Linked DNA regions of Arabidopsis thaliana. The protein of the gene in region 1 interacts with the protein of each later gene in a pairwise test. Each region holds a gene or a part of one and is shown in the gene's direction. Other genes may lie near its edges.

Evidence for each region.
Region 2: the proteins of CRK40 (region 1) and CLC-B interact in a protein complementation assay, tested with the Arabidopsis thaliana proteins (one large-scale study listed by BioGRID).
Region 3: the proteins of CRK40 (region 1) and Cand3 interact in a protein complementation assay, tested with the Arabidopsis thaliana proteins (one large-scale study listed by BioGRID).
Region 4: the proteins of CRK40 (region 1) and AT3G27770 interact in a protein complementation assay, tested with the Arabidopsis thaliana proteins (one large-scale study listed by BioGRID).

What each region holds. Positions count from the first base shown.
Region 1 is NC_003075.7:2,288,245-2,293,488, forward strand, and holds CRK40 (cysteine-rich RLK (RECEPTOR-like protein kinase) 40), read left to right. Parts: upstream 1-1,657; 5' UTR 1,658-1,800; coding exon 1,801-2,641; intron 2,642-2,803; coding exon 2,804-2,920; intron 2,921-2,990; coding exon 2,991-3,124; intron 3,125-3,211; coding exon 3,212-3,422; intron 3,423-3,501; coding exon 3,502-3,739; intron 3,740-3,836; coding exon 3,837-3,975; coding exon of another isoform or gene 3,976-4,011; exon of another isoform or gene 4,012-4,188; coding exon 4,189-4,473; 3' UTR 4,474-4,706; downstream 4,707-5,244.
Region 2 is NC_003074.8:10,022,001-10,027,720, forward strand, and holds CLC-B (chloride channel B), read left to right. Parts: upstream 1-1,930; 5' UTR 1,931-2,146; coding exon 2,147-2,322; intron 2,323-2,402; coding exon 2,403-2,603; intron 2,604-2,707; coding exon 2,708-2,885; intron 2,886-2,967; coding exon 2,968-3,500; intron 3,501-3,570; coding exon 3,571-4,720; intron 4,721-4,816; coding exon 4,817-4,921; 3' UTR 4,922-5,162; downstream 5,163-5,720. Other genes in the region: AT3G27180 (S-adenosyl-L-methionine-dependent methyltransferases superfamily protein), read right to left, coding at 5,163-5,277, 5,353-5,432, 5,506-5,659. UniProt on the Arabidopsis thaliana protein: Voltage-gated chloride channel.
Region 3 is NC_003074.8:21,837,384-21,843,274, forward strand, and holds Cand3 (tobamovirus multiplication protein), read left to right. Parts: upstream 1-1,801; 5' UTR 1,802-1,950; coding exon 1,951-2,073; intron 2,074-2,551; coding exon of another isoform or gene 2,552-2,579; coding exon 2,580-2,630; exon of another isoform or gene 2,631-2,739; coding exon 2,740-2,773; intron 2,774-2,864; coding exon 2,865-2,951; intron 2,952-3,043; coding exon 3,044-3,095; intron 3,096-3,195; coding exon 3,196-3,379; intron 3,380-3,464; coding exon 3,465-3,560; intron 3,561-3,680; coding exon 3,681-3,741; intron 3,742-3,884; coding exon 3,885-3,949; intron 3,950-4,041; coding exon 4,042-4,116; intron 4,117-4,205; coding exon 4,206-4,281; intron 4,282-4,358; coding exon 4,359-4,534; intron 4,535-4,941; coding exon of another isoform or gene 4,942-4,965; exon of another isoform or gene 4,966-5,024; coding exon 5,025-5,066; 3' UTR 5,067-5,380; downstream 5,381-5,891. Other genes in the region: AT3G59080 (Eukaryotic aspartyl protease family protein), read left to right, coding at 1-1,036.
Region 4 is NC_003074.8:10,285,130-10,289,704, reverse strand, and holds AT3G27770 (plant/protein), read left to right. Parts: upstream 1-1,773; 5' UTR 1,774-2,037; intron 2,038-2,123; 5' UTR 2,124-2,230; coding exon 2,231-2,553; intron 2,554-2,645; coding exon 2,646-2,679; intron 2,680-2,766; coding exon 2,767-2,976; intron 2,977-3,090; coding exon 3,091-3,180; intron 3,181-3,308; coding exon 3,309-3,374; intron 3,375-3,464; coding exon 3,465-3,556; intron 3,557-3,638; coding exon 3,639-3,686; intron 3,687-3,802; coding exon 3,803-3,887; 3' UTR 3,888-4,048; downstream 4,049-4,575. Other genes in the region: MYB118 (myb domain protein 118), read left to right, coding at 345-938; EMB3123 (PPR containing protein), read right to left, coding at 4,217-4,575.

The sequences.
Region 1 (5,244 bases):
GATCTCCTTCTGCGGGTGGTTTTGGAACTCCTTCGTCAACAATTTCCCACAGTTTCTTTGTCTGGAAAATTGTTTTCATCTTGATGCGCCAAAAACCATAATTCTCTTTGTTGAAGATTGGAGTCACAATGTGTGACACCATCTCCATAACTCTCTCGTGTTTATTAAACTCTTTACTTGAAATGTTTGGCCCTTGAATCAGTAGGGCTCTGATACCATGTTGGAAATTGAAGCCTCTTGTTACAAAGAAAAAACAAGTGTTTACTTGTTGTTCTGTTTCTTATGAGATACACAAAGCAAAAGAGAAACTGACTTTTATTGAATGGAGAACTTGTTCGTTTCATCACGATACAAAAAGTTTAAATAGAAAACAAATAGACACAATAAGTAAAGAGTTGTGTCTCTTTCTCTCTAAGATAAACGACACAACCTAATCTAAAAGTCACGACTCTAACAAACACCTTTTAATACAACATAATTATAACTTATAGACCAAACTCAATTATAAACTAACAGATTTGATGCAGCTTCCTAATTTCCAACAGCTCCATGATGTTTATCAGCTCGTTGTTGTCAGAATCTGCATCTTCATAAATTTATAATAAATATAAATATATAATGTATAACTGTATGTAGAACCGTATATTGTGGATCCGTGAATTGGTGGAAGAGTTGCTATTGCGGAATCGTCCAAGAAGCTATTCATAAAATCAATCACGAAAGAAAAAGAATTTGTTTTGCTATTATCTCTATATTGTGGGTAGCCATTTTTGGAATCTTTGAAAAATCAACCAATACGCATTTTCTCTCAGTTTGGAAGTTAACAAAGACGCGTTTTTTCAAGGTTTTGTGGGGACTGGGGACCAAAAGTTCTTAATATGGGTTAACGTCTCACAGGTAATACCAAACATTTCATTTATTTGTGTTTTTCTATCACTATCTTTTCCACATTTTAGTATTTTACTATTACATATAATTTTTGACTAAGAAGTTGATTGTGAATGAGTCTGTACATCTTCCTAGAAATGATTATAAGTATATTATTTAATTTGTTACTCCCTCTATTGTCATTTATTTGTAGTTTAAGTTTCAAGGTTTTGGCACAAATGAAATTATTTCGTTTTTTATTATTATCTTTTAATATAGTTAATTATCTATTTAAAAACAATTCAACAAATTGAAAAAAAAGTTTTGTAGAATTTCTAAGAGTCAAAAATAATAAAATTTCCATTAAAAATTGAAAACAACAAATAAAATGAAACTATTTGTTTTTGCTTAAACAACACTTCTTAAAAAACAGAGGAACCATTGTAAAATAGATTTTTCCCAACACAAATCGAAAACGTAACTTATATAATCTCTATATTTTTAGTAATTCAGCGACTTATCATTTCATTGTTAACTATTTTTCACTGACATGTTTCTCGTTATATAAAAGTCTCTGTTTATGTCAATGGTCGTATGTGAATGGTTCATGTATTATGCAAAACTGTTTATGATAATATTGCCGGGGAAAAAAAACTGCCATGTTTCATTTTTTTACTAGTTATTACATTTGATTATTATCAACCAACTTACCATTGAAAGATAACTTGTGATTATTATTTACAGTAACGAAGAAAATTAGGCCATATTTTGTTTTCTTTTTGGAACCTTTCAAATGTCAAAGCTGGTAGGCTATATAAATATAAACAAAGCTCAAAAATTTATTACTATACTTAACAGTAACGAAGTAGACTACTTCAAGTAGTACATCAAAAAAAAAAAAACCAAAGAAGTTGTTATCTTTAACAAACAAAAATGGGAAAATGCTCTGCTTTGATGATATTCCTCTCTTCTTCTCTTCTACTTGTCCTTCAAACACTCCATGTTGTTAACGCGGTCAAATGTTTCGGAAACTCCTTCAACGGTAACAGCAGCACCTTCGCTCAGAATCGCCAGAAACTGTTCCCTACTCTTGCTGACAAAGTCATCATCAACGACGGATTCTACAACGCTTCACTCGGCCAAGATCCCGACAAAGTTTACGCTCTTGTCAGCTGCGCAAGAGGCTACGACCAAGACGCTTGTTACAATTGTGTCCAATCATTGACTCAGAACACACTAACAGATTGTCGAAGCCGTAGGGATTCGTTCATATGGGGAGGCAATGACGATGTAACTTGTCTTGTACGTTCCTCAAACCAGTCTACTTTTGGGAGCGTCCAGCTTAAACCTCCTGTTGTATGGCCAAGTCCAGATACTATAGAGTCATCTAAAAACATAACCCTTTTCAAACAACAGTGGGAAGAAATGGTTAATCGGACCCTAGAGGCTGCCACGAAAGCTGAAGGTTCCTCGGTGCTTAAGTACTATAAGGCCGAAAAAGCGGGTTTCACCGAGTTTCCAGATGTTTACATGCTGATGCAATGCACACCCGACTTAAGTTCACGAGATTGCAAGCAATGTTTGGGAGATTGCGTGATGTACTTTAGAAAAGACTATATGGGAAGAAAAGGAGGCATGGCTAGTCTTCCAAGCTGTTATTTCAGGTGGGATCTATATTCTTTCCATAATGCTTTTGATAATGTAACAAGAGTTCCTGCGCCTCCTCCTCGACCTCATGCTCAGGAAAAGGAGAGCTGCATAACAGTAAAAAAAGGTAACACAAATTATTTTAGCTTTCATTTAGAGCTCAAAAGAGCCAATTTTGAGGAATATTGTTTACATAAGTGACATGAAGCGGTTTGGTATGAACTTTTCGTGCCAAATTGTTATTATGATTAAGAGGTTAATTCTTAGACAAAGGGTTGGTAATTTGCAGGGAAAAGCATTGGGTATGGCGGAATTATCGCAATAGTTGTGGTGTTTACTTTCATTAATCTTTTGGTGTTTATTGGCTTTATCAAAGTCTATGCACGGAGGGGAAAATTAAATAATGGTAAGTGTAACTTGCTTCAATCAAGCTTATGATGTAGAGAGTAAGGCTTATGGATTTTTTGTTTTTTTAGTTGGTAGTGCAGAATACTCTGATTCTGATGGTCAATTCATGTTACGGTTTGATCTTGGTATGATCGTAATGGCAACTGATGACTTCTCCTCTGAAAATACGCTTGGCCAAGGTGGATTTGGTACGGTTTATAAGGTAATAATAAACTTTTTCCTTAATGATGAGTTCTTGATCAACATTGGTCTTTTATGAGTAAATAGATATCTTGAGAATGGGTTTCAGGGGACATTCCCAAACGGGCAAGAGGTAGCGGTCAAGAGACTAACAAAAGGATCAGGACAAGGAGATATGGAGTTTAAGAATGAGGTTTCACTCTTGACAAGACTCCAACATAAGAATCTTGTTAAGCTTCTTGGGTTCTGTAATGAGGGAGATGAAGAGATTCTTGTCTACGAGTTTGTCCCCAACTCAAGTCTTGATCACTTTATCTTTGGTGAGCCTTCGAAAGACAGCTGCCAAGTTGGATAGATTTAGAACTTTTAGCAAACTAAATGTTTCTTTGAACTCTGCAGATGAAGATAAGCGTTCTCTTCTTACATGGGAGGTGAGGTTCAGAATTATAGAAGGCATTGCTCGAGGTCTTCTCTATCTCCATGAAGATTCTCAGCTGAAGATTATTCACAGAGACTTGAAGGCAAGCAACATACTTTTAGACGCTGAGATGAACCCTAAAGTTGCGGATTTCGGGACTGCGAGGTTGTTCGACTCCGACGAGACTCGAGCTGAAACAAAAAGAATAGCTGGAACCCGGTAAGAAATATATCAATCAAATTTGATGACACATTTCAAATGCTCTGTTTTGAAAACAGAGTCCATGAATTAATGCTATTGGTTTGCATATATGCAGTGGATATATGGCTCCTGAGTACTTGAATCATGGACAAATCTCAGCTAAATCTGACGTTTATAGCTTCGGTGTTATGCTTCTAGAGATGATTAGTGGTGAAAGAAACAATAGCTTCGAAGGAGAAGGACTTGCAGCTTTTGTAAGCTTCTTCACAATTTTTTTTTTTTTTGAATAGCTGGAGGTTTTGGGCCGAAGCCCGTAATCCCCCCAGGACCGAAACCACAGCATGTAATATTAGTTTCGTTCCAAGCGTTACTCGAACCGGCGACCTTAAGCTTCTTCACATATCAGTTTTTGTTTTTCTATCTTCAAAACTTTATCCCGAAAGTAAGAACTTATGTTTTTGGTGTAGGCATGGAAAAGATGGGTTGAAGGAAAGCCTGAGATTATAATTGATCCGTTCTTAATAGAGAATCCAAGAAATGAGATCATCAAGTTGATCCAAATTGGTTTGTTGTGTGTTCAAGAGAATTCAACAAAGAGACCAACCATGAGCTCTGTAATAATTTGGCTTGGCAGTGAGACTATCATCATTCCTTTACCTAAAGCTCCTGCTTTCACTTGGATTCGATCCCAATCTGAAAGTGGTGCAATGTCATTGAGCGACGATGTCTTCACGGAGTTGAGTTGTCGTTGAGATATACATCAGTTAATCAAAATATTTGAATATTTTTTAATATCAAACTCCATTAATCTGCAAATTTGTTAGTAAATCGCATAATCTTGGATTCGAACTTTAGACTTCTTTGGTGTAAAGGCTTTATTAACTCTTGATTAACCTTTGGGCCAAGAGGGTTTTCGCGTCCAGTTTTGTTTTAAAACTATTTTCACCAATATTAATTAATATTATAGAGGTAAGAAATAAATAAACTTAAAATGTTGCACATATAAATATGATTTAATAATAACTGAAATATCTTATAAATCTCAATTAGGAGAAGATAATAAATCTTTTCTTAACAATCAGATAAAATATCAGTTCTTAATTTCAGTTACTTTATTCTGATATATCTTACTCTAAATAGAATTATAAAGAAGTTTTTTTCTTTCTTTTTGTTAAAACAAATATTATAATATAACAATTGTTTTTAAGTATTTTCACATTAATTCCCAAAACAAAATATATCACGTACCTAATATAGTTCTCCCTAATATATTTCTTCTAAATGACCAATAAATTTCAAAGTTGATTTTAATTTTACATGACCAATAGAGTGAGGATAAAAAATCTTTTCTGACCAATCAAATTCCTGATTTTAGCCACTCTACTTGATTCTTATCTTAGTATGAACATATATATAAGGAAGTTTTTTTTTTGTTGTTGAAAATATAATATAAGGAATTTTCCTTGATATTTTCAGAATTCCCAAATAAGAGTATATCTATGTACCTAATATAGTTCTTTCTA
Region 2 (5,720 bases), on another chromosome or scaffold:
TCGTATTCATTGTTTATCATCGTATTACTCTCCCACATATTAATAATCTTATTCTTATCCAAATTATTTGCTTTTGCGTACACATTTCACGAAAGTTTCTAAAATTGTTTTTCTTGTAAAATACCATATAAATAAAGCGTACGTAAATACGAAACACATCGTGATAGTGAGCTATATATATAATTTAGATGTTAATTTGATGATATATACATATATCTCCATTTTCTTCCCTATTGATGTGTTATTTGTTATTATTTACTCCTCCAATGTAATTTATTAGAAATAAAGCGTATGTAAATACGAAACACAAATTAGTCAGTTTTCCGTCGTCCAAAATACAATGTCAATTAAAAAAAAATTATAGAAAAAAAGTAAAGACACTTTAATAATAGTTTTATATATTAACAGAATGTTTCAGGTTTACTGCAAAATAATAAAAATAGGCCACATAGCGCTCTTGTTTGTTTTCACAGTTTCTAGTTCTACCATTTGGTAAATCTCTAATATAAAATTTTCAATATTAATTGTTTTAAAATCATATGAACCACGAGGGGACACGTGTCGGATACAAAGACAACCAATTGGATCAGATCTGGTCTTCGATAGGACAAGTATTCCTGGGACCAGAGAGAGAGAGAGAGAGGGACAAGATCGCCGTTCAATAGACTCTTTCTTCCTATTAATCACGTGGTGAGGTACTTACCACGTGTTTATATTATTGGCTTCTTACGTGAACCAATCTCATGGTCCTAGTTTTCACATACATCGTTTTCCTTTGTGTTGTTGTTTTTCTATATGACAATAACTTTGTATCTCTTTTATGGTTTATATAATGTATATGCATGCAATGATTAAGTTCTCAATATTACGATTACTCTCTTGGAAACAAAAATTCTCGTATAAACTAAAGATTTGCAAACTTCAAAAGATTATAGAAGAACAAGTTGTATAAAAGTGTTTGTTTGATCACTTCAAGAGTTGGAGTTTTTGTGATTGTGACCATTAGAGCATCCACATTGGTGATTCTCTAGAAATGTCTTTACAATAATTATTATAAAAATTAATATTATTCTAATTTTGAGTCATTTATTAGTTCTGTATGATGTCTTTAAAGATACAAAAATGTCTCTATAGAGATATGAAAGACACAGGTCTCCCACTGTACCATTTTCTTTTTTTTTTTTCTTTTTCTTTTAAAAATTTAAAGACACTGTTATTTTTTTATGCAATAGGGATGGTCTCCCACTGTACCATTTTTTTTTTTTTTTTTAAAAAAAAAATTAAAGACACTGTTATTTTTATACAATGGGGATGGTCTTAGATCTCCAGAAGATACGGCGTATTGAAAAGTACTGCTGATCTGTCCAATGTAAGGGCTGAGTTGGAACTAACCTTCAATCCACTGAGCGACATTTGTCAATTTCAACCAAAACAACACCAACTGGATGATTATATTGTTTTCTTGTTATTTGATTTTCTTGATGATATGTACAAAACTATAAGTCTTTTTTGGTATCAATTTAGACCATTAGCTAGGACGCAACAATATGAAACCGTATCGCTATAAGACATTTTAAACCTAGATTTTAATAGTTCTACTTTCAAACAAATCCGATAGTTTACTCGGCCTCCTATATCAAACAAATGAATCACTATACAAGGCCACATAGAAAAATCTTATCCCTACGTTATACAAATACAAATTCACAATTTTTATTTATAATAAAAAATTCGCAATTTGATTAGAACCTTTGGTTGTTATTTATTGTACACATAATATTAAAATGGTCAATCATTGTCTCGTCTTGTAGTTTAGCATATGTATGGATTACATAGTTTTCTGTCTGTTACCCTCTCACAAGCATAAGCGTCGTCTCGCCAAAATTAGACACTATTCATATACACAAATATAGATACGTATATAAATATGTAGACATTTACAACTTATAAAAGAAAATTAAATAAAAAACAAAAGTCGGCAAACCAATTTGCATGAAATAATTATAATAATTTTTTAAAGAAATAACCAACCACCAAGAAGTGCTTTGTTAACAGAGAAAGCTCTGTAAGAACCTTAAAAAGGTTCTGTTGCAGAGGTTCCGACCAAAAGCCAGAGTTTCATCTTTATGTGAACAAAGACAGAGAGATGGTGGAAGAAGATTTAAACCAGATTGGTGGTAATAGTAATTACAATGGAGAAGGAGGCGACCCAGAGAGCAACACACTTAACCAACCTCTAGTTAAGGCTAATCGAACACTTTCTTCAACTCCACTTGCTTTGGTTGGTGCCAAAGTTTCCCATATCGAAAGCTTGGACTATGAGTATGTTCTTCTTCTTCTTCTTCTCTGCATAATTTTGAATTCAGGGGTCTTCTTTTAATCTTTAATCTAAATATTGACAGAATAAACGAGAACGATCTGTTTAAGCATGATTGGAGAAAAAGATCAAAGGCACAAGTACTTCAATACGTGTTCTTGAAATGGACGTTAGCTTGTCTTGTTGGTCTTTTCACTGGTTTAATCGCTACTCTCATCAACTTAGCTGTTGAAAACATCGCCGGCTATAAGCTTTTAGCCGTTGGTCACTTCCTCACTCAAGAAAGGTAAATCATCACTATCAAAAATATTCAAGATCAAAAAGTTTTTGTTACCTTTTATTTTTAGTGTATGATGATTGATGGATGAGAGTGTCTTGTGGTGGAAACAGATATGTTACAGGTCTGATGGTGCTTGTTGGGGCGAATTTGGGACTGACGTTGGTGGCGTCTGTGCTTTGTGTGTGCTTTGCTCCTACGGCGGCTGGACCTGGAATCCCTGAGATCAAAGCTTATCTTAATGGTGTAGATACTCCCAACATGTTTGGTGCTACTACTATGATCGTTAAGGTTTGTTTCTGAATTTGGAGATTTGTAATGATTAGTATGTATGAATTTGAATTTTGACTCACGGTTTAGCGGGGTTTGATAGATTGTTGGAAGCATTGGAGCGGTTGCAGCTGGACTTGATCTAGGTAAAGAGGGTCCTCTAGTTCACATTGGAAGCTGCATAGCTTCTTTGCTTGGACAAGGTGGAACAGACAACCACCGTATCAAGTGGCGGTGGCTTCGTTACTTCAACAACGATAGAGACCGCAGGGATCTGATTACATGTGGCTCAGCTGCAGGAGTGTGTGCAGCCTTCAGGTCACCTGTTGGAGGTGTACTTTTCGCCCTCGAGGAAGTTGCTACTTGGTGGAGAAGTGCCTTATTGTGGCGGACTTTCTTCAGCACAGCGGTTGTTGTGGTTGTTCTAAGAGAGTTCATAGAGATCTGCAATTCAGGGAAGTGTGGGTTGTTTGGAAAAGGAGGGCTAATCATGTTTGATGTGAGTCATGTAACTTATACTTACCATGTAACTGATATAATCCCTGTCATGTTGATTGGTGTAATCGGTGGAATTCTTGGGAGCCTGTACAATCATCTTCTGCATAAAGTTCTCAGGCTTTACAATCTCATCAATGAGTAAGTGTTAGCTATTCAATGAGTCAAAACCCGTTAAGCTAGTTACTTACTTTGTTTGGTCATTTTGCAGGAAGGGTAAGATCCATAAGGTGCTTCTCAGTCTTACAGTATCACTCTTTACATCTGTTTGCCTTTATGGCCTTCCTTTCTTAGCGAAATGCAAGCCTTGTGACCCCTCGATAGATGAGATATGCCCGACGAATGGAAGATCGGGTAACTTCAAACAGTTCCATTGCCCTAAAGGTTACTACAATGATCTAGCTACTCTGCTTCTCACCACCAACGATGATGCTGTCAGAAACCTTTTCTCTTCCAACACTCCCAATGAGTTTGGTATGGGTTCCCTTTGGATATTCTTTGTGCTATACTGCATCTTGGGGCTTTTCACATTTGGTATTGCAACACCGTCTGGTCTCTTCCTCCCCATCATCCTCATGGGTGCTGCATATGGCCGAATGCTTGGCGCTGCAATGGGATCATACACAAGTATTGACCAAGGGCTTTATGCTGTCCTTGGTGCAGCTGCACTCATGGCTGGATCGATGAGAATGACTGTGTCACTCTGTGTTATATTCCTTGAACTCACCAACAACCTTCTTTTGCTTCCTATAACGATGATCGTGCTTCTGATAGCCAAAACTGTGGGAGACAGCTTTAACCCGAGTATATATGACATCATCTTGCATCTAAAGGGCTTACCTTTCTTAGAAGCAAATCCAGAGCCGTGGATGAGGAACCTCACCGTTGGTGAGCTTGGTGATGCTAAGCCCCCGGTTGTAACCCTGCAAGGTGTTGAAAAGGTTTCAAATATAGTTGATGTGCTAAAGAACACGACGCATAATGCATTCCCTGTTTTAGATGAAGCAGAAGTACCTCAAGTGGGTCTAGCAACTGGGGCTACAGAACTCCACGGGTTGATCTTGAGAGCGCACCTCGTTAAAGTTCTGAAAAAGAGATGGTTCTTGACAGAGAAAAGAAGAACAGAGGAGTGGGAGGTCAGAGAAAAGTTTCCATGGGATGAATTGGCTGAAAGAGAAGACAACTTTGACGACGTGGCCATCACAAGCGCTGAAATGGAAATGTATGTCGATCTTCATCCTCTCACCAACACAACACCTTACACAGTCATGGAGAACATGTCAGTGGCCAAGGCTTTAGTACTTTTCCGGCAAGTGGGACTCCGGCATTTGCTTATTGTTCCCAAGATTCAAGCCTCAGGAGTGAGTTTATATGCCTTAACTCTCTTTTACTCCCATTCTTGCTAAAGCCTCTAAACAACACTAACTTCCTTCCAATGCGAATCAATTTTTTTGCAGATGTGTCCTGTGGTAGGGATCTTAACCAGACAGGACCTAAGGGCATACAACATTCTACAAGCCTTTCCTCTCTTGGAAAAATCCAAAGGTGGAAAGACACATTGAAAGAGCTACTTGCTTGTTGTAAGAAATCGCTTGCAGCCTTGTGTTTTTCTTCTCATTCTTAAAGATGTATCTGTCCAGTTTTGCACTTTTTCTTCATATCCAACAGAAGTTGATAAGATAAATATTGCAATGACACAAAAAGAGAGACTCATATCTCCTTATCAACAGGAACAGAGCAAAACTGTTTCCATCTATTAGATGGTCTCCTAAACCTCTGAAGTTCAAGTGTTACAGACATTAACTAATAAGAGTCCTGTGACTTAGCACGCACTTTCTTAATTCCCACTTTTTTTATTCCCGATTTCTTCTTTTTCTTGCTCGCAACCCTTCTTTTGAATACGGCCAAAACTTCAATGCTGAAAACCAAATTGTAAAATAAGCATGAATAATATTTGTGCAGTATAAAATGGAAGTAAATGTTTCTATAATACCTGTCGGTTCCGGGAAAGAAGTTGAAGCCATGGGCTTTTTCCAACTCCCACGCTCTGCTAGATAATAACGACTTGCAGTCCTAAGCCATTGTTTCAAAGTTAGAATGAACGAAAGCGGCAGCATTGTTTGATACCAGTGTTTGTCTCTAGTACCTCTTTAAAGCTTTCCCAACCACAGCTTATATATATGAGTCTTTGCGGTAGTGTATTGTTCTCCTCAGAGGTCTGCTTGTTGCCAGCTTGAATTGAAAGTTCCTTTGCTCTTAAAATCCACGGCCTCTTCTCCTCTTTTGCGTTCAAGCTTGAACTGAAAGAAGAGAAAAGTAACATATCCATAAAGAACTGGCTTTTGAGTTTTAATGATAGGG
Region 3 (5,891 bases), on another chromosome or scaffold:
TGACTTAAACTGGATTCAATGCTTGCCTTGCTACGACTGTTTCCAGCAAAACGGTGCGTTTTATGACCCTAAAGCCTCTGCTTCTTACAAGAACATAACTTGCAATGACCAAAGATGCAACCTAGTCTCATCACCTGACCCTCCAATGCCCTGCAAATCAGATAACCAATCATGCCCTTACTACTACTGGTATGGGGATAGCTCCAACACTACCGGAGATTTTGCAGTAGAGACTTTCACGGTTAACCTCACGACAAATGGAGGGAGCTCGGAGTTGTATAATGTTGAAAATATGATGTTCGGTTGCGGTCATTGGAACCGAGGTCTCTTCCATGGTGCTGCAGGCTTGCTTGGTTTAGGAAGAGGCCCGCTTTCGTTTTCCTCTCAGCTTCAGTCTCTTTATGGTCATTCCTTCTCTTATTGCCTTGTCGACAGAAACAGCGATACCAACGTTAGTAGCAAACTGATTTTCGGAGAAGACAAGGATTTGTTAAGTCACCCGAATCTGAACTTCACTTCTTTTGTCGCTGGGAAAGAAAACCTCGTCGACACATTTTACTACGTACAAATCAAATCCATTCTAGTCGCGGGAGAAGTTCTAAACATACCTGAAGAAACATGGAATATCTCATCAGATGGAGCTGGAGGGACGATCATTGATTCAGGTACAACCTTAAGTTACTTCGCAGAACCTGCATATGAATTCATCAAGAACAAGATTGCTGAGAAAGCTAAAGGGAAGTATCCGGTCTATAGAGATTTTCCAATCCTAGATCCTTGCTTCAACGTCTCTGGCATTCATAACGTTCAGCTGCCAGAGCTTGGGATTGCTTTTGCAGATGGCGCTGTTTGGAACTTCCCGACAGAGAATTCTTTCATATGGTTGAATGAGGATTTGGTTTGCTTGGCAATGCTAGGAACTCCCAAATCAGCATTTTCAATCATTGGAAACTACCAGCAGCAGAATTTTCATATACTCTATGATACAAAGAGGTCTAGGCTCGGGTATGCACCTACAAAGTGTGCAGATATATAATCTTTCTTGTCGATTTTTAAGTCCATCAAAGCAACTGAACACACAATAAGAACAGATTCATTTTTTTCCCTTTAGATTTTTTCATTCTTTAGGATATTCCTTCAAACATGTAATGTATTTGCTGTAGAACAAAGATCATACCAAACTAATGTACTTATTCAAATTCATTTCTGAATACAAAGTGATTTAATTTTGCTTGCTACATGCATTTTCTCAAACTCTATAGTCTACCATCAATGACAAGTAAATTTGTAGTCACTGGAATTGTCAAAGTTTGATTAGTAATCCCTGAATTGTTTGTGAGTTTAGGACTCACTTTGGTAAGGTTTTAAGGCAAAGGAGTTGTCAAATCATCGTCTTTGTTGATCCAATTTGAAAGAAATGCAGAAAATCTAGAGAAATTGGAAACTAAAGAAGCTTGAGTCTATTGCAGAACACAAACTATACAAAAGAAATCGGATTATGTACCTGAGCATGGTCGGAGAAGAGAGTTGCAGAAAAGAGGTGTCTCTGTTTTGCAAAAATAACTCGTTTAGTTCTGATTTTTACAAAAAACCCTCATTTTACATCTTCTAACAATAATTAATAATTAATTTTAGTTAAAGAGATATTGATTACTTAATAATTCTTTTAAGCCAAGAGTAATTAATTAATTAATTTATGGCAGTAATTGTTGTATATTCTAGTGTGCCGTACCACTTGTAGCAATTAAATTTAGTAGATAGTATATTGTGTTGTCCAGGAAATATATAAATATAAAAAATAATTTTTATTTTTGTCTCTCAGACCAGACCCAACCCATCTCCTACAACCATCTGTCTCGGTGGTGTTCTTTGATCCTCTCTCTCTTACAAACCTAAAATCTAGGCATTCGATCTCTTGGGGAGGATCGAGAAGAAAAGAGCGGATTCACGATGAAGATCTTAGCGACTCTTTTCGAATCAACCAAGGATAAATGCTATGCTCCTAGCTTCATCGCCGTCAATCTCTGTTTGGCTTTTATCGATGCCGCTCTTGCTTTCATCGCATTCCTTCAGGTTCTGATTCTTGGTTCTTCTGATTTCCTGAAAGAAAAAGAAAAAATCAGTCTTGATTTGTGAATGCTAGATTGTGTGTGACCGTTAAGGCCTGTTCGGACAGGTGAAGCATTGTGCTTATTGATTAAACGAGATGTGAGATTATTGATTCTTGATGTTGAATTTAATGAATTGGTTGATTTCAGTCTTTAGAGTTGTGTGTCTGTTGTTCATGTGGTTGACCATTAAGTTTAAAGGTCAACTCTATGAATAACTCACGGAGCTGAAGTGTGTTTGTGTAGAATGAGAGATTTGGATTCAGGGAATCTGAATATGATATGAATTATTAGCATTAGAAAGTAGAATCTTTTTTTCTTTTTTAAGTGCTATGTGTGTAGATTAAGATGTTCTTTTCAAAGGTTCCTATGTAGTTTTAGACGGTGAAGTAATAAAAAAAAAGTCTTATTCTCTTCTTTTTTTGTGGGGTTTGGCTTATAAGATTTATCTTGGCTGCCTACTTCTTTCAGTTATCTCGATTTCACAGGCGGAATAAACAAGTTGGATGGACTCGGCAAAAAGTATTTCTTCTCATCCCAACCAATTTAGGCTCTATGTTATTGTTATATGGTTACAGTTATTGTTACTTTTCATGGCGTGTATCTGACACATCCATCATGAAAATTGCAGGTACTTCATCTTATGATTGCTTCTTCAAACACTGGTAAATCCTCAGTCATTTGTTGTTCAGGAACAATTATAATTGGGGGAAGTTTTAGCCAGTGAGTAAGGTCTCTATTCGTATATATTGGCAGGTTCTGTTATTTATTTCGTGGCTGCGGTTATAGCGACTTGCACAAGGTGGCATCATTGGTCCAACGCATTAGGTTTTCTACTCATGGGTAAATATTTCATTCCTTTGTGAAGGTTTGTGTATGTTTTTCATTGATTTGTCTTATAGTTAATTCCCTGATGAATCAAATTGTACTTGCAGCCTTTCCCAAAATTCTGTTTCTGGCAACTTTTCTCCTGCTTCTCTCTTTCTGGTATGTATATTCTCAATACTCTGATCATATTGTGTTGTCCCTGATTATTTTATCTTAATAATGATCTGAGATAAGACAATGATGCTTCTTCATGTTATAGGGTAGATGTTTGCCATCAGGGAAATGGAGAGGAGGATGATGATGATGATGAAGAAAATAGCATCCAACAAGTGTTGCTTGAAAAAAGCAAGAGCAAGCCAGGTTCTTCGAATGCAAGTGATCGTAGAAAGTGTTGCTCTTTCCATGGTATTCATGTTGGAACCCGGCAGAAGTTTGTTGTTGCGGTATGGGATACTTTCAGTTTTGTGCATTAACCTCTAGCCAAGTCATTTCTATGATCTTTATAAAAATGTTTATCTTTTTTGCTAGGCAATTATTCTTGTGTTCATCTTAATGATATCATTTGCAATCCTTATCTGGATCGCTTCCGGAAAGAATCCTATGAATTCTTCATTATTGGCTGAGGTATGTGGTATTCCTCTGCACATTGATATTTCCTCTTTCACTAAGTTCTTAAGCTCGAGAAATAGAAGACTTTTGTCTATATTTTTTCTGGTTTTATGATAAACTCACTTCCTTATATAGGTGTATGTCGATATTTTTGCTGCAATAATCCTAATCACTGGAGGAGGAATCTGCTTCTATGGTAAGTGATTTCTTAAGTTCTTTTCTGGTTTCAGCTATTCATATTTTTCTTCTAGCAATTCGTGAGATGTTTTGGTCAGTGGTTTACTGGCTTATTGCTATGATTGAACAGCGTATATTCACAAACTCTTTTATGTTCTTTAGGCCTGCGTCTGCTCTTTAATCTAAGAAAGGTGCGGTCTGAACAAGTTTCATCAGAGATGCGAAAGGTAACTAATGATTCTTTGGCTCAACAAGCTTTTCTTTCTTTGCACATGTCAGTCGAATCCTTACCCTGAAAGTACATTTTAACCATTTATAGGTATCGGGTCTAGCAGGAGTCTCAGTTGTTTGCTTCACTGTTAGCTCTTTAATCGCTCTTCTCACACACATTCCAGTAAGTCATTATCACTCAAAAAAGTATGTCTGTAAACCGAAACCTAACATTCGTCGATACATTTAACCAAAACCAATCTTTGATCTCAGCTCTTTTATCATTGGAACCCAAGCAAATTACACGGCATCAAAGCATTGGTTCTTCTGATCATATACTATTTCATAGGTGAAGATTTTTTTCTTTCGTTTTGTTGTTTTGAAGACCTTCAAATGCAGGGTTACTGATAAGAACGCTTTTTAAAGGTTCCACCGTCCCATTGGCTTTCGTTTTATGGGTTTTGCGGGAGTTACCCCCTCAAAACATTGTGAGTAGGCAAGAAGACACCAGAAGGATTACTTATGTCAACTATGAAACTGTTCCAAGGCAACCTCAAGGTCCTCAACAAGACTGGGCCTCCGCCACAGTGTCGAAAAATCAGGTATACAATTCTCTTGATGAACATCTAAATTAGGAAGTCATGTCTGACACATACAAGGAGTTTTATAGTAAGCTGTAAATGCATGCATCAGATAAACTAGGGGTGGGAATATAAACCGAAGCAAACCACAATATTTATAGCTAACTAACTCTATTTAGATAAGAAAAACTCAAACCGTATGCTCACTTTTAAGATAAACGCAATGTTGAGAGCATTCGAGAAAGGTTTGAACGAATTGCGGTCTGAACATGAATACATAGTTGAAACACTACGAAAAATCCTCAAATGAGAAAGAAGTTTTCATTCTATTAGTGACTTCTGAGGTTATTTCAGAGTTTCCTTTTTATCGACCATAGATTGTTTAGGGAGGTCACTTAACAGTTTTTGGTTCGGAAACGACGGCGCAGGTGTCTAAAGCAAGTCCTATATGAACCAAACAATCATCATAATCATTGACCTGAAGCAAACATCCGCCAATCTTCTTTTGTAGTTACCGGGAAAAAGCCTCGTGGGATTGCAGAATGGTTCTTAGGCCCAATGTGGTGTGTTGTGGTGGAGTGAATGAAAGTGGAAACAAGCTCGTTTTCTTCTCTCTGAGTCGCCTTGGAATACAAAAATTTGTTTATAAGATAGAAATGGAGGTTTGAATCTGAGAAAGCTGTCTGTAAATATTAACTTTTGATTGCAATTTATAGTTTAGCATCATGTGTTGGGGGGACTTGTGGATGGATATAAAATGTGTTCCAAGGAAGATATAATTTTGTCTTCCTTTCTAAACAGCGTCGTTTAAGCTGCTTTGTTATCATTTACATATACGACGACGCATCATTCTGGTTTTAAAGATGGCATATTACGTTTGAGATTAAACGCCACCGTTTTCGAAAGATAGCACGGGCATTATACGATGTCGTATTGCTTCCTCTTTCGAAAATTTGTTAGCGCGATTTTGTTAAACTTTTAGCGCCATTTTTTTTCACATTAAAAATTTGAGACCCCGAAACGGTATCGTTTGTTGGATGTTATCCTAAAATTGACGGATCTGATATGAAAAAAAAAATCCTTAAAAAAACCGTTTGAGAACTTTTTGGATATTTGTGGTCTTCTCTTTTCGTCTTTCTTCTCCACTGTCACCTTCCTCGCTAAGCAAAAGAATTTAGAGAGAGCTTCGTACTATGCCCAGAGAAAAAAGCAAAAAGCGAGAGCCAAAAAGATAAGAAAGATCAAAAGATGAAAAAGCTTAGACGTAAAAAAGCAGAAATATATGTATATAGAATTAACAAGTCTCTCGAAGAAAACCCTTTAGCCATCTTTATCAATCTCTTTTCTTTTGCGTTCTCTATAAAGTTGGTATAAAAGG
Region 4 (4,575 bases), on another chromosome or scaffold:
TTCAAATTCATTACATGATACATTGAGAATCTTCTAAGAGAATATTAACAAACTTTTTTCACACTTGTCAACATGTATACGGTTTTATTTCATGCATGAATACTTTAAACTTTTGTTTGTATATACATATATGTCTATGACAATTCTTTAAGGCATTTTGTCTTCTTGTTGCGGACAAAACTTCACAATTGGTAAGACATTTAAACTAAAGTCATTGTCACTTGGATTCTCTCATATAATTCAACAAACATAAAAGAGAAAAAAACATATAAAAAATAAAAATATTTGTTTAATATTGTATGTATTATTTACATATAAAGCATATTTTATGTGGTATGTTACAGAAAGATGGATGGACTGAAGAAGAGGATATAATACTGATAAAAGCCCATAAGGAGATTGGGAACAGATGGGCTGAGATAGCTCGAAAACTCCCGGGACGCACTGAAAATACGATCAAGAACCATTGGAACGCGACTAAACGTCGACAACACTCGAGGAGGACTAAAGGAAAAGATGAAATTTCCCTTTCACTTGGTAGCAACACTCTTCAGAACTACATTAGGTCTGTTACCTACAATGATGATCCTTTCATGACCGCAAATGCAAACGCAAACATTGGTCCAAGAAACATGAGAGGTAAAGGTAAGAATGTAATGGTTGCGGTCTCGGAGTATGATGAGGGTGAATGTAAGTATATTGTGGATGGTGTGAATAACTTGGGTTTAGAAGATGGAAGGATCAAGATGCCGTCATTGGCGGCTATGTCGGCCTCCGGATCAGCGTCTACTTCTGGTTCTGCGTCTGGTTCTGGAAGTGGTGTGACCATGGAGATTGATGAGCCGATGACTGATAGCTGGATGGTGATGCATGGATGTGATGAAGTTATGATGAACGAGATTGCTTTGCTGGAGATGATTGCTCATGGTCGTCTTTAGACCGTGCAATATAAACAAGTCGAACTTGATTATATCTACCTATATAATTATGCTATTTATGAAATTATGTTTGTGCTTTTAATTGAAGAATTGGACATGTAATATATATTGTGGTTTAATTGAAGGTTTCTTTTGGACTAAACAAAAATTGAAGGTTTTCTTGCTTTATCAGATTTTTTTTTTGTTATTCTCTAATTTCATTTTAATTAAGAATCTATATATATTGTTAAATTTTCTGTTATACTATATGAATGGTAATTGCGTTTGCGGTTAGGAGAAGACGACCATTAGGTCCACAACAAGTACATTTAGTCACTAAAGAATAATTTTATATCGACTATGCTAAAGAAAAAAAGTACTAGTTGTTTACAAAATATCTGGTTAGTATGATGTAATATGGGATAATATGTGTATGGTCCGTTGTATTGTAATTTTCTGGAATTTGTTACCTTACCGTCATAATGACTATATGGTCCGTCGTATTGTAATACCAGAAATTTTAGGCAAAACACAAACAAAAAAAAACGTAATGAGAGTTTTGTATACATTATATTTTGGTTTTCCATTTGTTTTGTATATCACCATTCGAAAAGTCATACATAACTAAAAGAAAAATACATAAAACTTTTGGGATCTATATTCATTAATGATATTTTGACTAACTACATAGAAAATTGAGATCTTAACCAAATACAATAAACCATTACTTCTTATTCTTTTTGTGCAATTCCTCCAACAAAAAAAGAAAAAAAACTTAACAATTTTAGTCTTAACTACAAATAGTTAAAAATAATAATGGGCTTGTAGATATCTTTCCATTTATATGAGATTTGTGATTTAGGCCTATTTAAGTAAAATACACACGAAACCAAATCGACGTCGTTTGGCAACTAAGCGTTGGACAAACGGAGAAGGTCCCACCTGTCCTTGTCTCCACTCTGTGTTCTCCGATTCCAGTGGGCCTCTGACACCGCCATTGGATTGTTCTTCAGATTTATACATATCTCATATCTCATCACCTTCCAAGTTTCAATTTGACTTCTCCATCACACACAACAACAAGAACAAGGACAAGCTTCTACATTTCTCTTAACATAACGTAAGTATCAAGAATCAAAGCTACTTAATCTTAACACTAATATCTCTATATGTAAATCAATTAAGCTACTTTTAACTCCTCTGCAGAGACAGTTTTTGATCTGGGTTTTCAAGTCCGGTGTTGATCCCATTGAGTTTCGGATCTAAAAGATCCGAATATTCAGACGGATCAACAAGAGAACAAGAAAAAAAAAATGAATCTTGAGAATGTTTTGGAATTCACCAGCTTTGATTACTGGTTTAATTGGAGAGTGTTACTATGTGCTATATGGGTAATAGTTCCAATGATTGTTTCTTTATTAGTCTTATGGAAGTATGAAGATAGTTCAGTTCAAACTCAACCATCACTTAATGGTAATGATGTTTTGTGCATTGATGATGTTTGGAGACCTTGTTTTGAACGAATCCATCCGGGTTGGTTGTTGGGTTTTCGGGTTCTCGGGTTTTGTTTCCTTCTTGCTAACAATATTGCCCGGTTTGCTAATCGTGGATGGCGTATTTACTACTATTATACTCAGTAAGTTCTCTTTAAAGATCTCTGCTTTATTGTGTGGAAAGGGAATATCTTTGATGTTTTGAGACTGATATGATTGAGGTTTTGATTGGTAGGTGGACATTCACTTTGATAGCAATCTACTTCGGGGTATGTTTTGATTTTTGATGTTGTGAATATGTATATGGTTATAGTCAAGTTTGTTTGAATGTTTGTTGTCACTTGTGTGTTGTGTAGATGGGATCATTGCTTTCAATTTATGGATGTTTACAATACAAGAAGCAAGGGAACACTGGACTTATCGCTGATCAAGTAGGAATCGATGCAGAGAACGGGTTTCGTTCGCCTCTTATAGATGGTGACAACATGGTTTCGTTCGAGAAGAGAAAAACTTCTGGTTCGGAAGCACTAAAGTCATATGTTCATCTCTTCCAGATTATATATCAGGTAGACAGATTCCTTTGGTTATTATGATGTATAGTTTGCAACTTTCAGATTTCTTGTTTCATTAGTGTATATATGATCACTGATACTTGTGTGTTTTGGTTTGTTGAAAAACAGATGGGTGCTGGAGCAGCTGTGCTTACAGACAGTATATATTGGACCGTGATTTTCCCGTTTCTGTCTTTACAGGACTATGAGATGAGTTTCGTAAGTTTTCGCGCCATTTACCGTATATTAGTTAAAGCTTGTACACTGCTGATGGCACTTTCTACGTTGCACTTGACCCTCTTGAACTTAGTCTCAACTTCTCTAGTGTCAAAATTCTGTGTTTTCAGATGACTGTGAATTTGCACACAAGCAACCTCGTTTTGCTGCTTATTGACACGTTTCTAAACCGTCTGGTAAAACAATTCTTTCCTCTGCATTTACGACGAGTTTTCGTTTTCATTAATGTGTTGAACCTGAGGTCTTTTTGTGATGTTGCTTTGCAGAAATTTCCATTGTTCAGGTTCTCTTACTTCATCTTATGGACAGGATGTTTCGTTCTTTTCCAGTGGATTCTCCACATGTTTATCTCCGTTGGGTAAAACTCTTCTCTGTCATCTTTTGTATGTTACACTTACCGTCTTGATTAATCTTACACTTGTATTCCTCGATTGACTTAGGTGGCCATATCCATTTCTCAACCTGTCATTAGACATGGCTCCAGTGTGGTAAGCCTTGAAAACATTTACATACTAGACACTAGTCAGGATTGGTTTATATCATAATGTTTCATTCCTTAGAATGATTACGCCTATCCTTAATATTTTAATTCATGCATCTGCAGGTATTTGTTGGTGGCACTCCTGCATCTTCCTTCTTATGGCCTCTTTGCATTAATCGTCAAAATCAAATACAAACTCATTTCTTGAAGTCATTTCGAATCCAAGAGTTTCTGCCCCGTAAGAGTCAGTGCTCAAGGGTTACAACAATCAAAGAAACAATTTTTTACCCCATATGTCTAAAATCTTCAAAACAGATCATTGTAAACGCCACAACATTTCAATGCATAAACTATTTACTTCCGATCCAATTCGCATATCGCAATGAACCATTTCGTAAATTTTTCGCTACCCGAATTGATTTCAGCTCGAACCAAATCGAAAGAACTAACCATAGCAACAGAATATAGTGCAATCTTTGCCAAAAGTGTATGAACTTAATCAAAAACCGAACCAAACCAAACCGAAAACCCGAAAATTCAAGGTTTTAGAATTGAAGATTTGAGTGAGACTTGAGAAGCCAAGTCTGGCTCTCCTAGTCTCAAGAGACCCTTACTCAAAACCTCAGCGACATACTCATCAGCCTCCCATGACTCAGACCCCCAACCACTTTCCCTCATCAAGGTATAAACCCTAACCACCGACTCTCTCCTCTCAGCTCCAACCACAGCCCTAATCAACTTAGCTAAAGCCTTATCATCACTTCTTTGATCAATTCCATCAATTTCACCAATAAGACGATCTATCTCATCGAACTCTTTATTCCTCGTAAGAGCATTAACAATGTCTGCGTATAGAACAAGGTCAAGAGGAGGATACTCTGTACGGAGAGTGGAGA